Callithrix jacchus: one gene and its partners. The protein of the gene in region 3 binds, or shares a complex with, the protein of the main gene of each other region. Links are inferred from orthologs where the notes say so. Each region holds a gene or a part of one and is shown on either strand. Other genes may lie near its edges.

Evidence for each region.
Region 1: the proteins of NAA20 (region 3) and SNCA are in contact, whole or in part, in a cryo-EM structure (PDB 7STX), measured with the Homo sapiens proteins. The link is inferred for Callithrix jacchus from reciprocal best matches to the Homo sapiens genes NAA20 and SNCA. Residues at the interface, in NP_057184.1 of Homo sapiens: Leu23, Thr24, Glu25, Tyr27, His73, Val74, Thr75, Ala76, Leu77, Ser78, Leu110, Phe111, Tyr137, Tyr138, Ser139, Ala140; in NP_000336.1 of Homo sapiens: Met1, Asp2, Val3, Phe4.
Region 2: the proteins of NAA20 (region 3) and NAA25 are in contact, whole or in part, in a cryo-EM structure (PDB 7STX), measured with the Homo sapiens proteins. The link is inferred for Callithrix jacchus from reciprocal best matches to the Homo sapiens genes NAA20 and NAA25. Residues at the interface, in NP_057184.1 of Homo sapiens: Thr2, Thr3, Leu4, Arg5, Thr8, Cys9, Asp10, Leu12, Phe13, Phe15, Asn16, Asn19, Leu20, Pro22, Leu23, Thr26, Tyr27, Gly28, Ile29, Pro30, Leu33, Gln34, Leu36, Ala37, His38, Pro40, Glu41, Pro49, Glu52, Met54; in NP_079229.2 of Homo sapiens: Ser226, Glu227, Ile228, Asn259, Asp261, Asp262, Trp263, Gln264, Arg318, Arg321, Leu325, Lys362, Pro363, Cys364, Thr367, Asp368, Val371, Leu457, Thr459, Glu460, Leu461, Ser504, Ala506, Leu510, Leu532, Asp533, Lys535, His536, Ile537, Gln538.

What each region holds. Positions count from the first base shown.
Region 1 is NC_133504.1:107,737,484-107,742,162, forward strand, and holds the start of SNCA (alpha-synuclein), read left to right. Parts: upstream 1-1,616; 5' UTR 1,617-1,808; exon of another isoform or gene 1,809-1,930; intron 1,931-2,101; exon of another isoform or gene 2,102-2,536; intron 2,537-2,767; exon of another isoform or gene 2,768-3,185; intron 3,186-3,678; exon of another isoform or gene 3,679-3,826; intron 3,827-4,255; 5' UTR 4,256-4,280; coding exon 4,281-4,401; intron 4,402-4,679. UniProt on the Homo sapiens protein: Neuronal protein that plays several roles in synaptic activity such as regulation of synaptic vesicle trafficking and subsequent neurotransmitter release.
Region 2 is NC_133510.1:115,034,437-115,038,876, forward strand, and holds the start of NAA25 (N-alpha-acetyltransferase 25, NatB auxiliary subunit), read right to left. Parts: upstream 3,064-4,440; 5' UTR 3,044-3,063; coding exon 2,986-3,043; exon of another isoform or gene 2,624-2,985; intron 1-2,623. UniProt on the Homo sapiens protein: Non-catalytic subunit of the NatB complex which catalyzes acetylation of the N-terminal methionine residues of peptides beginning with Met-Asp, Met-Glu, Met-Asn and Met-Gln. May play a role in normal cell-cycle progression.
Region 3 is NC_133506.1:27,002,946-27,007,604, forward strand, and holds the start of NAA20 (N-alpha-acetyltransferase 20), read left to right. Parts: upstream 1-1,655; 5' UTR 1,656-1,710; coding exon 1,711-1,763; intron 1,764-4,659. UniProt on the Homo sapiens protein: Catalytic subunit of the NatB complex which catalyzes acetylation of the N-terminal methionine residues of peptides beginning with Met-Asp, Met-Glu, Met-Asn and Met-Gln. Proteins with cell cycle functions are overrepresented in the pool of NatB substrates.

The sequences.
Region 1 (4,679 bases), on a different chromosome or scaffold from region 3:
ATTCAGAGACAATTGTGCCTTCTGTAACAATTTCTGCTAAATTGTCACAGCTCTGCCAGTTAAAAAAGCTAGGTGATCTCAGCCTATCACCAAAACTCTTGGAGCTCAGGTTCTCTGTTTATAAAAGTTACATAAAACATAATTTATCTGCTTGTTATGACTGAAAAACATAGTACATTAGTCCTTTGTCAAAAGACTAATAAATTACCATATAAAAGTGTGGAATGGTGTTTAATATTATAAGAAATGCAACTGTCCAAAAATAATTCTCTCACATTGGTCTGCTAATAAGACCTGAAATATCTGTCATTTTATTTATCTCTTTGACTTAAAGCACCAGGTCTCAAGGAGGTCACTGTTAAACTATAAATTTGTCATATGAAATAATATATTAAATAATTGTTGTAATAGTCTATTGACGTACTAGCTGTAAGGAGGCACAATGGAAAACATATACTATTAACAGTAATACAAAGAAACAATAAAAAGCAATAAAAAACAAACCACTGATTCATGCAACAACATGAATGAACCTCACAAATATTATGCTGAGTAAAAGAGGTCACACAGATATGAAACAAAGTTCGTACTATGTGATTAGATTTTTATGAAATTTGAGAACATGCACATGAAAGGTACAAGGTAACTGTCTGGAGTGATGAAAATGTCCTGAATCTTCAAAATGGTGTGGGTTACACTAAAGAATGGCTTTTTCAAAGTGACTTAAAGGGACACAACATCTGAGCATTTCACTAGGTGTAAATTATACTGCAATTTAAAATAATTATCTAATGATATTGTGGTTATTTTTAAACAGTTTCTAAATTTTGTGGATGCATACTGAATGTTTACAGCTGAAAAGATATATACAAAGCTTGAATTTGGTGACAAAAAACAGGGAGTATTTGTACTGATAAAGTTAGTGGACATATGGATGAGACATGATCAGCCATGCATTGAAAAACATGTAAAAGTTGGGTGATATTCACATGGGAGTCCTTCATTGTGTCTACTTTCGTGTGTTTGAATATTTCCCATAACAAGAAGTTGAGAATAGATCGGTCACCTGAGTTCACCCCTTCATTTACAAAAAAGAAAACTGGAAACAGAAGAACATAACTTGTTCACGGTCTCAAAGCCAGACAGCATACTAGCTCCCAAATCCAACCTTTTTGCTGTGGTGGTAGGCAAACACACAATATTAATGTGAGCTACTGCATTATGGAAAGTCTGCTTTTCCAAAGGGCAGACCAAGAGTTCAAGGAAGTGCTTAAGTAATAAATATCTATAATCTTGCTTTCATGCTCTGCTATTTTCCACTGAACACATATGCATTATCTTCTATATGTCTTTTATGTATAATCATTTGCTTCCTGTTCCTTGTGGTTTTAAAGTTGTTTTTTATGTTTAAATTTGATTTTACTCAAATTTCAGAACCAAAATGAGCGCAAGAATCAAACAAAACATTACTTTCTATAAATATAAAAACAATTTTTGCAAAACCATACAGCAAAAACGAGTTGTTTCCCCCCCCCCCCCCCACCTTTTCCAGGGCTTAACTAATCTTCCGAATCCAGGCACAGAAAGCAAAGGCTTTCTGCTAGTGGGAGGAGCTTGCTTCTCCATTCTGGTGTGATCTAGGAACAGCTGTCTTCCTTCCAGCTCTGAAAGAGGTGAAAATGTGTTAAGCGATGCAAAAATTGTCTTGAAGTTCGCGTTTGTATGTCTGTGTGTTTGAGCGTGTTGGGGGTGAGGGAGACAAAAGGGGGTGTCAGTTCTGAGGGCAACGAGAATCAGAAGTCAGAAAGGTGAGTGGTGTGTAGCATTCTCCTTTCAGAAGGGGCTGAAGAAGAAATTGTATATGATGGTCGGGTAGTGGAGATCACGCTGGATTTGCCTCCTAGATAGACCACGCGCTTGGGTCTGCAAAGTAAGTCCCATTTCTAGAGCGAAAAGCCTTAGGACTGCTTGTTTTAGACGGCTGGGGAATATTTATTCCTTGTTCCACTGATGGGAAAATCAGCGTCTGGCAGGCGCTGATTGGTGGAAAGGAAAATGGTGATAGTGGGGTGGGAAGAGGATTTGCTGAGCCTCCTCCTGCGTCCTTAACCTGTAACTCTTCCTTAGTAGTCTCCGCTTCACCTGCGGGACCCTTTCGGGCTCGTCCTAGATTAAGAGCAAACGGAAATCTTGGGGATATTTGAACTAAAGCGACCTTTAACGTTATAGCGGACGACGGCGAGTAAATTTCAGCGATACGAGGGCAAAGTGCTCTCGGCTGTGCCGTGTGAGCAGCCTCCTGCGCTGCTGTTTCCTCCAGCAGCCCCCCAAGAAATAGGCTCTGCTCTAGGTGGTCGACCCTCAGGGCCCCGACTCTCCCAGGTCGACTCTGACGCGGTGCAGGGGATGGTCCCCAGGAGGACCTGGGGGGAAAGGCGGGGACAGGAAGAGAGGGGAATGGGAAAGACGGAGAGGCGTCAGCCCAACCCCAACCCCTCGCGAGCGCCAAAAGAGTGCCCGTGACCCTGAACTTGAGGTAAGGCGCGAAGGCACCCCCACTTTCCCGATTTGCGCGGTCAGGCAGGCGGCTGGAGTTGATAGTTCACCCTCCGCCCCCTGCCCCATCCCCATCCGAGAAAGGGAACGGAGCAGCGCACGCGGCAGGGAAACCGCGAGCGCCGAGAGAGGGCGGGGAGAGGCGCTGACAAATCAGCGCTGGGGGCGGAGAGGCGAGGAGAAGCTGGAGGAGGACCAGGCGGAGGACGACGGCGACGACCAGAAGGGGCCCGAGAGAGGGGGCGAGCGACCGAGCGCCGCGACGCGGGAGTGAGGTGCGTGCGGGCTGCAGCGCAGACCCCAGCCCGGCCCCGCGGAGAGCGTCCTGGGCGCGCCCTCCCGCCTTCCCTTCAAGCCTCCCTTTCTCTTCATCCTCGTGAGCGAGGGACTGGGCGTGGCCATTCGACGACAGGTTAGCGGATTTGCCTCCCACGCCCCCAGCCTAGCGTCGCCGAGTTGTGCTGACGGCGGCCTCCTCTGGGGACCGTCCCCCTCCCGGTGCCGCCTCCGCCTTTCCTATGCGCTCCTTTCCCTCCCTCTTCCCTATTCAATATTATTTGGGAATTGTTTAAAAATTTTTTAAGGGAGGTGGGGAGGAATCGGAGTTGTGGAGAAGCAGAGGGACTCTGGTAAGTACCTGTAGATCTAAACGTATGTCTTTGGAAATCCCGGAGAACGCCAGGTGGGAGAGAAGTGGTCGTGGGCGCCGGGAGGGGGTGGTGCTGCAGTGAGGATCCGCTGTGCCAGGTCTCTGGGCGATGAGTACTTGCCCTTTCGGGAGCCTAAGGAAAGAGACTGGACCTGGCTTTCCTCCTGCTTCCGATATTTGCTTCTCCTCAAAGGCTGAGAGGTCAGGCATTCCCCAGGATCCGCTTTTCCCCGGGAAACCCGAGGATGCTCCATGGAGCCTGAGCATCCAACTTTTATTTCTCTCTTACCCGAAATTCCTCTGCCCGCTCTCTCGGTTTTTCTCTGTAAAGTAAGCAAGCTGCATTTGGCAAATAATGAAATGAAAGTGCAGGGAGGCCAAGTCAACAGGTGGTAAAGGGTTAACAAGTGCAGGCTCGCGGTCCGCTGGGTGGAGGCTAAGAACGCCTCCTCAGGTGGCTGGTGCGGGCCTCCAGACCGCCGACCGCCGGCGGGTGTGAGCGGCGCCTGCTCTGGATAGATAGCTGAGGGCGGGCAGGGGTTGGGGGGTGGCCAATGTTCTTGTGGATTAGAACCAGCGCCCCTGGGCTCGCTGTTTGCCTGAGATTCAACCACACCCAGAGTGAGTAGTTAGTTCTCTTCCCCATGCTTCTCCGTCATCAACCCGGTAGCCTTATTCTGGGATTCACGTTAAGGATGCCCCTGACCTTAAGCTCCAGCTTCCAGGCTTCTAACTCATACTGTTACCCTTTAGACCCTGGGAAGTTGAAAAAGGGTGAATCTTTTCTTGCAACTCCACTTCTGAAATGCAGTAATAACAACTCAGAGGATTCATCTTAATACATGGTTAGGTGGCTAGACTTTTACTAGCCAAGATGGATGGGAGATGCTAAATTTTTAATGCCAGAGCTAAAAATGTCTGCTTTGTCCAATGGTTAAATGAGTGTACACTTAAAAGAGTCTCACACTTTGGAGGGTTTCTAATAATTTTTCAGTGTTTTTTTTTTTTCCTCAAAAAGTTCTCATTCAAAGTGTATTTTATGTTCTCCAGTGTGGTGTAAAGGAATTCATTAGCCATGGATGTATTCATGAAAGGACTTTCAAAGGCCAAGGAGGGAGTTGTGGCTGCTGCTGAGAAAACCAAACAGGGTGTGGCAGAAGCAGCAGGAAAGACAAAAGAGGGTGTTCTCTATGTAGGTAGGTAAACCTCAGATGTCACTTTGGTGTTTGCTCATGACTGATGGGTCAGGATAATCAGTACTCTAAATGCTGGTAGTTCTCTCTCTTGATTCATTTTTGCATCATTGGCTGTCAAAAGGGTGGACTGAGTCAGAGGTGTGTGTAGGTAGATGAATGTGAATGTGTGTATTTGAGCTAATAGTTAAAAAATGTGTCTGTTTGCTTTTCCAGATTTTTAATTTTCCTTTAATATTTAGAACATTTTAAAAATGAGTATTTCTCTGCCTACATGACTA
Region 2 (4,440 bases), on a different chromosome or scaffold from region 3:
TAAAGTATTTAAACAACAAAAGTGTGGAGTTCAAAAGTCAAATGTGCTGAAGTGCTGAATTCACTGTACCGTTCTTTTCCTAGTGCTGCCTGCCAGTTTATACTAATCGCCTTAGAATTCCTGAAGAAAGCCTCTTCTAATCCTCTTCCCATGTACATATAACAAGAGCTACATAATTCTGACTTCAGTTTTGAGAATATAACTTGTTAATATATCCTGGTTCATATATCCTGATGTTTAGTGATGTGAAATGGATGTGGTGTTTACCACTGGACAATCAATTAATTAACATTATTAATTCTAAATAAGTATGGGACCAAAGAAATTATCTTTGGTCCTCAAGAACAATTTTAAAAATCAAAATACTCTTGAAAGTATTGCGTCTTTTTAGTTAAAAAAAAAAAAGTCTGCAAACAGCTGCTGCACAAAGATGTAATAAGTCACGAATTATAAACCCTGCATTCAGTTCTCACCTTCCATCACCCACCTTGTACATATTTTTGCCCTCTGAAAATATACACTGGAGGGCAAGGGCATGAGAATATGCAGCCCCGGGAAAATGGGAAATCAGAATCCTTTCTATGTGTGACCTCAGGCAAATCAGTGTCTTTGGCTCAAAGTGAGGTGGTTTCTAGCACAGAGGTTAAGAAGGTGAGCCTGGGCCATGTGCAGTGGCTCACACCTGTAATCCCAGAACTCTGGGAGGCAGAGGCAGGAGGACTGGTTGAGCTCAGGAGTTTTAGACCAGAGTGGGCAACATGGCAAAACCTATTCTCTACAATATATACAAAAATTAGCCAGCATGGTGGCAGGGACCTGTAATCCCAGCTACTCAGGAAGTTGAGGAAGGAGAATCACTTGAACCCAGGAGGTGGAGGTTGCAGTGTGCTGTGATTATGCAACTGCACTCTAGCCAGGATGACAGAAAGAGACTGTCTCCCAAAAAAAAAAAGAAAAGAAAAAAGGTAAGCCTGGAGCCAGGCTTCGTGGCTCATGCCTATAATCCCAGCACTTTGGGAGGCTGAGAAGGACAGATTACTTGAGGTCAGGAGTTCAAGACCAGCCTGGCCAACATGGTAAAATCCTGTCTCTGCCAAAAACATAGAAGTTCGCTGGGCCTGGTGGCATGAGCCTGTAATCCCAGCAACTCAGGAGGCTGAGGCAGAAGAATCACTTGAACCTGGGAGATGGAGGGTGCAGTGAGCTGAGATTATGCCACTGTACTCCAACCTGAGCGACAGCAACTCCTCTCGCTCCAAGAAGTACTAACGGAGGCCGTGCTCAGTGGCTCACACCTGTAATGCCAGCACTTTGGGAGGCCGAGGTGGGTGGATCACTTGAGGTCAGGAGAGTTGCAAAACAGCCTGGCCAACACGGTGAAACCTGGTCTCTACTAAAAATACAAAATTTAGCCAGGCGTGGTGGCACATGCCTGTAATCCCAGCTACTCGGGAGGCTAAGGCAGGAGAATTGCTTGAACCAGGGAGGTGGAGGTTGCACTGAGTGGAGATAGCACCACTGCACTCCAGCCCAGGTGATGGACGTGAGACTCCGTCTTAAAAAGAAATATATAAATACCAGCTAAGTGGCCTTAAACAAATTATGCAATATCAATAAAGCCCTAGTTTCCTCATCTGTTTTGTTGTTGTTGTTGTTAAACAGTTCAGGGGCTGGAAAAAACAGTACCCACCTCTTGAGAATGGGTGAAGATGATATTAGACAACCCATATAAAAGGCCAAGGCCAGTGACTGTTATAATGAGTGGTCTATCAACTTTAGCTATTATTATTACTGCCCAACCCACAGGACTGTTGCTAGAATCAAATGAGATGTAAGAGTAAAGAAACATATAAATTATAAAATAAAAGCAGAACTAACTGTGGCCAGAAACAAAGTTAACCACCGCCCCCGCTCCCGCTCCCAAAATGATTCCCGCCATGGGGAGAAGCCTCCAATGTAACATCCACACGATGTCTATAAACACGAGGTCTACTTTTGTTAAAAACCGCTGACCTTGAAGCTTCCTCACCATTAAGTGAGACAGACCAAAACCATACAACCATCTAAGAGAAAAGGAAATGCAAAAAGGACCAATCCAATTACACAGTAGTATCTCGGTTATCGGAAAAGGGTTTCTCCCAAACTCAAATCTGTGATTTTTCACTACCAAGGAAACTGGATGACATCAAGGTCTTCAAGCCTGCGGACTGAGGTAAGAGCTGTGAAGAGGGATCTGCATAGCACGGGAAGGAAAACTGCAGAGAAAACCACAGAGAAGCTGCAGAAAGGAGAAGCCCTCCGGTAGTTCTGCATGCCCCTCTGACACGAGCTATCACAATCTCTTCACCGCTATTTTGGGCCCAAGACCCCCTTCCCTCGTCTCCCACATGTGCCCAGAGCAGCTGCTTCTCCACCAAACAGCTCTGGATTGGGAGCCTGGAATCTCGCGCCTGCTCCTGACTCGATCTGGGTGACCTTGCGTCCGCCCCTTCCCCACTCTGGACCTCGGTTTCTCCTGTACACCGAGGCCTACCTAGTCAGACAACCCTCTAGGCCCAATTCTCGTAAATAAAAAAATTTCTGTTAGGGAATCATTCCTCTGGCAGGAATCATTCCTTCCCACCCTTGTGCCGCAGCCGGCTTCCACCTTCGGGAAATCTCCGGTCTCCTCAGGAGCGGTGGTAATAATCCAGCCTGCGGGTAGCGCAGGTGTCTTCAGAACCACGCGTCCCAAGGGGCCTGCCAGGCAGGCCAGCTCTGGCGACTAGCAGCTGCCCAGACCGCGCCGCTACCACGTCAGGGCTGAGAAAGGCTGGGCCGGCGCCTACGCGAGGCCCGCGGCTGCGGCCTAGTGGCCCGCGCAGCCCGCCCCCTGCGCCTGCCCGGCCCACGCGCCGGCCCTCAGCACCCCTCCTGGGATTTCGCTCCAGCCTCGGCAGCCCTCAATGCGTCGGGCTGGCGACCCGACCGGTCCGAGGCACTCACCGTAAATGGGCCGGAGGCGCCTGTCGTTAGGGTCCTGCACATGGCCCCGCGTCGCCATGATGACAAGCGCAGAACTGCAGTGCGCACGCGCGGGGCAGGCCCCCGGGAAGGGGCTGTTAAAGGGCCAGAGTCGCTTTCGCTTGTCTATCGCGATAGTTGTGGAGCCGCGACTCAACGCGCTTGCGCGGAAATGGAAGCATCCACCATGCCAGATTGCCACTTTAAACACTGTTCTTTCACGTTGCAGGTAGTATCAAGCTGGCAAGAGGAGGCAGCTGTTGCTGTTAAAATCTCTTCCGAGTCACTGACTGGGAAGTGAGGAGAGGAGGGGAGAAAGCTCTCGGTCAAAATTAGGGTTCCGCTGCTCCTGTTTATTCTCTGTCCTGAAGAACCAGTTAGACTTGGCTGTGATTAATCGCAGAGGAACCAGGAACTCCTGGAGGAGAGAGAGACCCAAGGGAATGTTGGGGAAGGGGGTGCTGATCAACAGCAAAAATCTGCCAAAAAAGTTTGAGAGCCCTCCACCTGTTTTCGGACCAGACTGAGGGTCGGGCTGCTATTTCTTGTGGTCCAATAAGCAGATGCAGATGAACTGAAGAGAAAGAGAGTTTTTATTTCTGCAGCCAGTTACAGGGAGAAGGCCTGGAAATGATCACTAGACCAACTCAAAATTACAAAGCTTTCCAGAGCTTATATACCTTCGAAGCTATACGTCTACGTGTAAGGGTGCAATAATCTATAAGTGATTAATTTATTTTAATCTATAACTAAGCTCTGAGTCCTGAAGATCTTCCTCTGGAGCCTCAGTAAATTTTCTTAATTTATATGGATGTAGGTGCCCTTATCTTGTCTCCTGCTAAAAAATCACAGAAGTGTGGGGAGTTACTTCAGACCCCCGATAAAATTTGTTTAATCTGGCTGGGCACAGTGGCTCATGCCTGTAATCCCAGCACTTTGGGAGGCCGAGAAGGGCGGATCTTGAGGTTAGGAGATCAAGGCCATGCTAGACAACATGGTGAAACTCCATCTCTGCTAAAAAATACAAAAAATTAGCTGGGCGTGGTGGACCGCGCTTGTAATCCCAGCTACTTGGAAGGCTGTGGCAGAATGGCTTGAACCAAGGAGGCGGAGGTTGCAGTGAGCCAAGATTGTGCCACTGCACTCCAGCCTGGCGACAGAGTGAGACTCTGTATTAGAAAAAAACTAAACAAAACAAAAAAAAAACTTGCTCGATCCTAAATGGATCCTGTTAGGAATTCCTTCATTATTTTGCCATGCTTTAAGGCTAAGGAAAGGCCTTTGGTGGGCTTTTGTTATACATTCCAGCCTTTGTAGAAGAACACTGGCTTTTTTTAAACTTTTAATATTTAACCACTCAGTACAGAAAGTTGTTACACAGGCCTGTGATAGTGAGACCTGGCCTGTCACACACCCGTCTCCCAGGACTCAGCCAAC
Region 3 (4,659 bases):
CTGTGAGAGTCAGTCCGCACCTCCTGGCTTCTCCTTCAACAAAGAAAGAAAATACTAACACAAGTGTTTTTACGTTTGTCCTTTTGAAGCTACGGCAAAGTCTGGTTTCTGCCCCGATGACATGGAGTGCTGAAAGAAATGGGGGTCCTCTGAATGACAGGTTGGGTCTCTGAGACCAAAAGGAAATCCTGGTGACCACAGCAGGAAGGCTGCAGCAGCACCACCAGCAACATGTGGATCAGGTGACCAGAGGCCACTATGAAGAAACCCGAGAAACCGTCTTTCACTGAAAAATACACACACAATTCCACACGAGACACATCTTCGGAACCGGCTTTAAGAGGCTTCTAGCATCTGGGCCAATTTGGTTCTGATTACCCCAGGAGAAAGTCACATTAAAAGAGTTGTGGCAGGAGGCTTTTTGTTGATGCTTGAATCTCAATCAAAGATTACCTGTTCAAAGTATTAGGGTCATGTGGTACAATTAAAGACATCAAAAAAAGTTCAGAAATCAACCCTAAAACAATGGAGATGCAGAAATTAACTGAAAAAAATAAAATTATCATTTGAATAATGATCAACGAATAAAAATAGAAAAACAGAAAACTAAGTAAAACCAGGAAAATGACAATACCAATAAAAAGATATAAAGTATAACAAATGGATTCAGAAACTGAACATATGAAACAAAATAATTACTGAAAACTTCTCCAATGAAAGAACAGAGATAAAAAAAGCTCAACACATCAAGAGTATAAGCAAGAAGAGATGTAAAACACTACCTGCACAGTTTCAGAAGTCACAGAGGAGAAAAGAATCTTGAAAGCAGCAAGTGAAAAGCAGTATGTCATAAGCATGCTCTTATGAGATTACCAGTGAATTTGTCTCCAGAATCCTCGAGGCCAGGCTGAAATGATATTCAGGTACAATAAAGTGAGGTCAGGGAAAAATAAAGTGTACTATCAAAATCAATTTTACACTGCTTTTTGCATTTATTTATTTTATTTTTGAGATGGAGCCTCACCCAGGCTGGAGTGGAGTAGTGAGATCTCCACTCACTGCAACCTCCGCTTCCTGGTTCAAGGGATTCTCCTGCCTCAGCCTCCAAGTACAGGCACACGCCTTCCTCCCTCCCTCCCTTCCTCCCTTCCTCCTTTCCTCCTTTCCTCCCTTCCTTCCCTCCTTCCTTCCGTTTGGCCAGGCTGGTCTCAAACTCCTGACTTCAAGTGATCTGCCCCCCTCGGCCTCTCAGTGTTGGGATTACAGGCGTGAGCCACCCCACCCGGCCTTCTTTTTGTATTTAAACGTGGTATTGACATTTTAAGATGACATCTGCGACTCGCATCCCTGGGACAAGCGGTCTCCCGTTCCCCATTTACTCTGCAGAATCCTGCTCCTCTGCTTGAGTTTCTGCATCCCCAGCAGCTTTTTTCCTTGCCAAGCGTCGAGGCCTGCTTTTTGCAGCCGCTTCCCGGGAGGGGTTCCGAAGCTCTGAGCAGCCAGAGCCCCGGAGGCCTTACGGGAGCTAGCTGGCAATTCCCGCCGCCGGCCGCCAGAGGAAGCTGCTTCGCTGCTGTCATTGCAGAGCAACTCGTGACCCGGAAGCAGTACCCCGGCCCCCGGGTTCCGCCGCGGCCGCGCTCCTGGAGACTTCCGGTGGGCGGGCGCAGGGTCTCGGCGTATGGTTTCGGAAGCGGCGGCAGCGGCGCGATGACCACGCTCCGGGCCTTCACCTGCGACGATCTGTTCCGCTTCAACAACATGTGAGTGAGACGCGCTTAGGGCCAGCCGCTCCTGGCCCGGCCCAGCTTCCCGGCCGCGCCCTCCCGGCTGGACCCCAAACCCGGGCGGAGACCCGCGAGAACCACCCCCGCCGACCGTTAAGGGAGCCTCTCTAGGGTCACAGGGTCCAGGAACGGGTGGACCCGGGGTCGACGCGCGTCGGCCTTGGCGACCTTGGCAAAGTATTCAAACTTTGTCTCTGGACCCTGCAAGCTCCTGGGTCCTGGGGCAGCCCTCGGGCCGCCGCTCAGGGTCGCTGTCAGGACGCGCCGGGGCGATGGGGCGAGCCGGGGGCGCGGCCTCGAGCCTAGGACCTGGGCTCCTCGCCCGGCTGCTTGCTGGCTGATGGCTGAGCCGCGCCTCTTCTGGGCAGTGGGCATCGCCAAAGGCCCGGCCGCAGAGGGGGCTTGCGAGGGTCGGAAACGGGTCAGCAGCTGCTGGGATGCGTACATCGTGAAGCCCACCTGGTGGCCGTGGTTAAATTGTAGATAAATGAAATAACGCTGATCACTGTGTCCCTGCAGCGATACTGTCTCAGTCGTGGCTGGTGATTGCAGGTTTAGTTACTGTAGCTGCACACCCCGGTGTAGACACCTTTCCTCTATGAGGTGTCAGGGCAGATCCTAGGGAAGGCTCGCTGTGCGTAGAGCCCTGGATTCAGTTTCTTTGGATTCGAGTTAAGGCCAGACCTCTGATTTGCAGGTACTATTTTTTTTTTTTTTTTAAGAAAACATTTTATTATGAAGATTTTCGAACGTTTAGAGAGGTTGGAGGAGGCCAGGTGCGGTGGCTCACGCCTGTAATCCCAGCACTTTGGGAGGCCGTGGCGGGTGGATCACGAGGTCAAGAGATTGAGACCATCCTGGCCAACATGGTGAAACCCAGTCTCTACTAAAAAACAGAAAAAAATTAGCTGGGCGTGGTGGCGCGTGCCTGTAGTTCCAGCTACTCGGGAGGCTGAGGCAGGAGAATCGCTTAAAGCCGGGAGGCGGAGGTTGCAGTGAGTTGCTATCTTACCACTGCACTCCAGCCTGGCGGCAGAGGGAGACTCCGTCTCAAAAAGAATAAAAGAAAAGTTGGAGGAATTTCACCGTGTGCTTCTATAGACACTTCTCCTGGATTCTGCAGTTAACATTTTGTTATGCTGGTTATCTCTCTGCCTATCAGTCCTACATCCATTTTTAAAAAATAAGCTCCCACCATGTGAAGCGAAAGACCAAGTGGTTCCGATTTGGGTGTGAAGAAGGTGGAAAGAACTGTGGGATGAGATAGCTGGGAACATTTCAGAGTGGGTGAACCCTGAAGGATGGATAACACATTGGTAAGTGAGGAAGAAGGAAATTCCAGAGTAGCGGGGAGTGAAAGTGGGGAAACTTGACATGCGGTCAGGCAGCTGGGATCAGTGTGAATCTAGTGGTTTCTGTCACACTCATTTTCTTTTATTCTTTGAGACAGGATCTCACTCTGTAACCCAGAAAAGGAGTGCAGTGGCACAATCATAGCTCTCTGTAGTCTCAACCTCCCAGGCCCAGGCTGTTCTCCTGCCTCAGCCACCTGAGTAGCTGGGACTACAGGCACGTGCTGCCACATCCACTAATTTTTTAAATTTTTTGTAGAGACAGGGTCTTGTTTTGTTGCCCAAGCTGGTCTGGAACTCCCAGGCTCAAGTGATTCTCTCACCTTATCCTCCCAAAGTGCTGGAATTGCAGTTGTGAGCCACCACACCTCATCCCCATTTTTTCTATTTTCTTACCTCTTTGATTTTGGTAGAAAACTCTAAGAATCACTCAGATTAGATGCTGCAGTTGGAATCGAAAGAATCCATGGATGCAGAACATTGCAATTAATTTGACACATATTTTATTCTTGGAAAAATATTTGAGTGCCTACTGTGTGCCAGTGCTAGAGGCGTTATCAGTGAACAAGATATAAAAACATGTCTATAGAATGTACATTTTCCCCTCTAAAAACCTTAGTGTATTGGACCGGGCGTGGTGGCTGACGCCTGTAATCCCAGCACTTTGGGAGGCCGAGGCGGGTGGATCATGAGGTCAAGAGATTGAGACCATCCTGGTCAACATGGTGAAACTCCGTCTCTACTACAAATACAAAAAATTAGCTGGGCATGGTGGCGTGTGCCTGTAGTCCCAGCTACTCAGGAGGCTGAGGCAGGAGAATTGCCTGAACCCAGGAGGCGGAGGTTGCAGTGAGCTGAGATCACGCCATTGCACTCCAGCCTGGGTAACAAGAGTGAAACTCCCTCTCAAAAAAAAAAAAACCTTAGTGTATCATAAAATAGCTCAGACTTCATAGAACACCTGAGACAATGTTGGGGACACCCCCAAATCCTGACCCACACCTTGGAAATCACTGCTCTAATACTGTACGGGAAGTCATTTGGAACTTCACTTCAGTTACAAAGGAAAATACAAGCAGAGAAGGAAAGTTGGAAGTGAGGGGGGACTCGGCTTTAGTTTGGGTGTTGAGGGAGAGTGCCGTTGAAGAAAGACCTGGGGAAGTTAGGAAATGAGTTACATGAAAACAGGGGAGCTTCCAGATAGAGGGGACTGTAAACGAAGACACCCCTGTTGCAAATAGGAGGTGGGCCTCGTGGCTGGAACAGAGAGAGCGTGGGAGGGTGAGGGGATAACAGCAGAGTTAGAAGGGCAAGGCCTGGAGAGGCCATCATAAGACCTGAGCTTCTCTGCCACGTGTACCAGGAAACCCAGGTGGAGGGGCCAGGAAGGCATCTGGGCATGGGCGTCTCAAGATTAGGTCTGGGCTAAAGACAGAAATTTGGGGGTTGGCATTAAGTGTAGAAAAAAAAGGCTAAGAGGCTGTAAGATGGTGCCGTAGGGCATCAAATGTTCCAGTAAA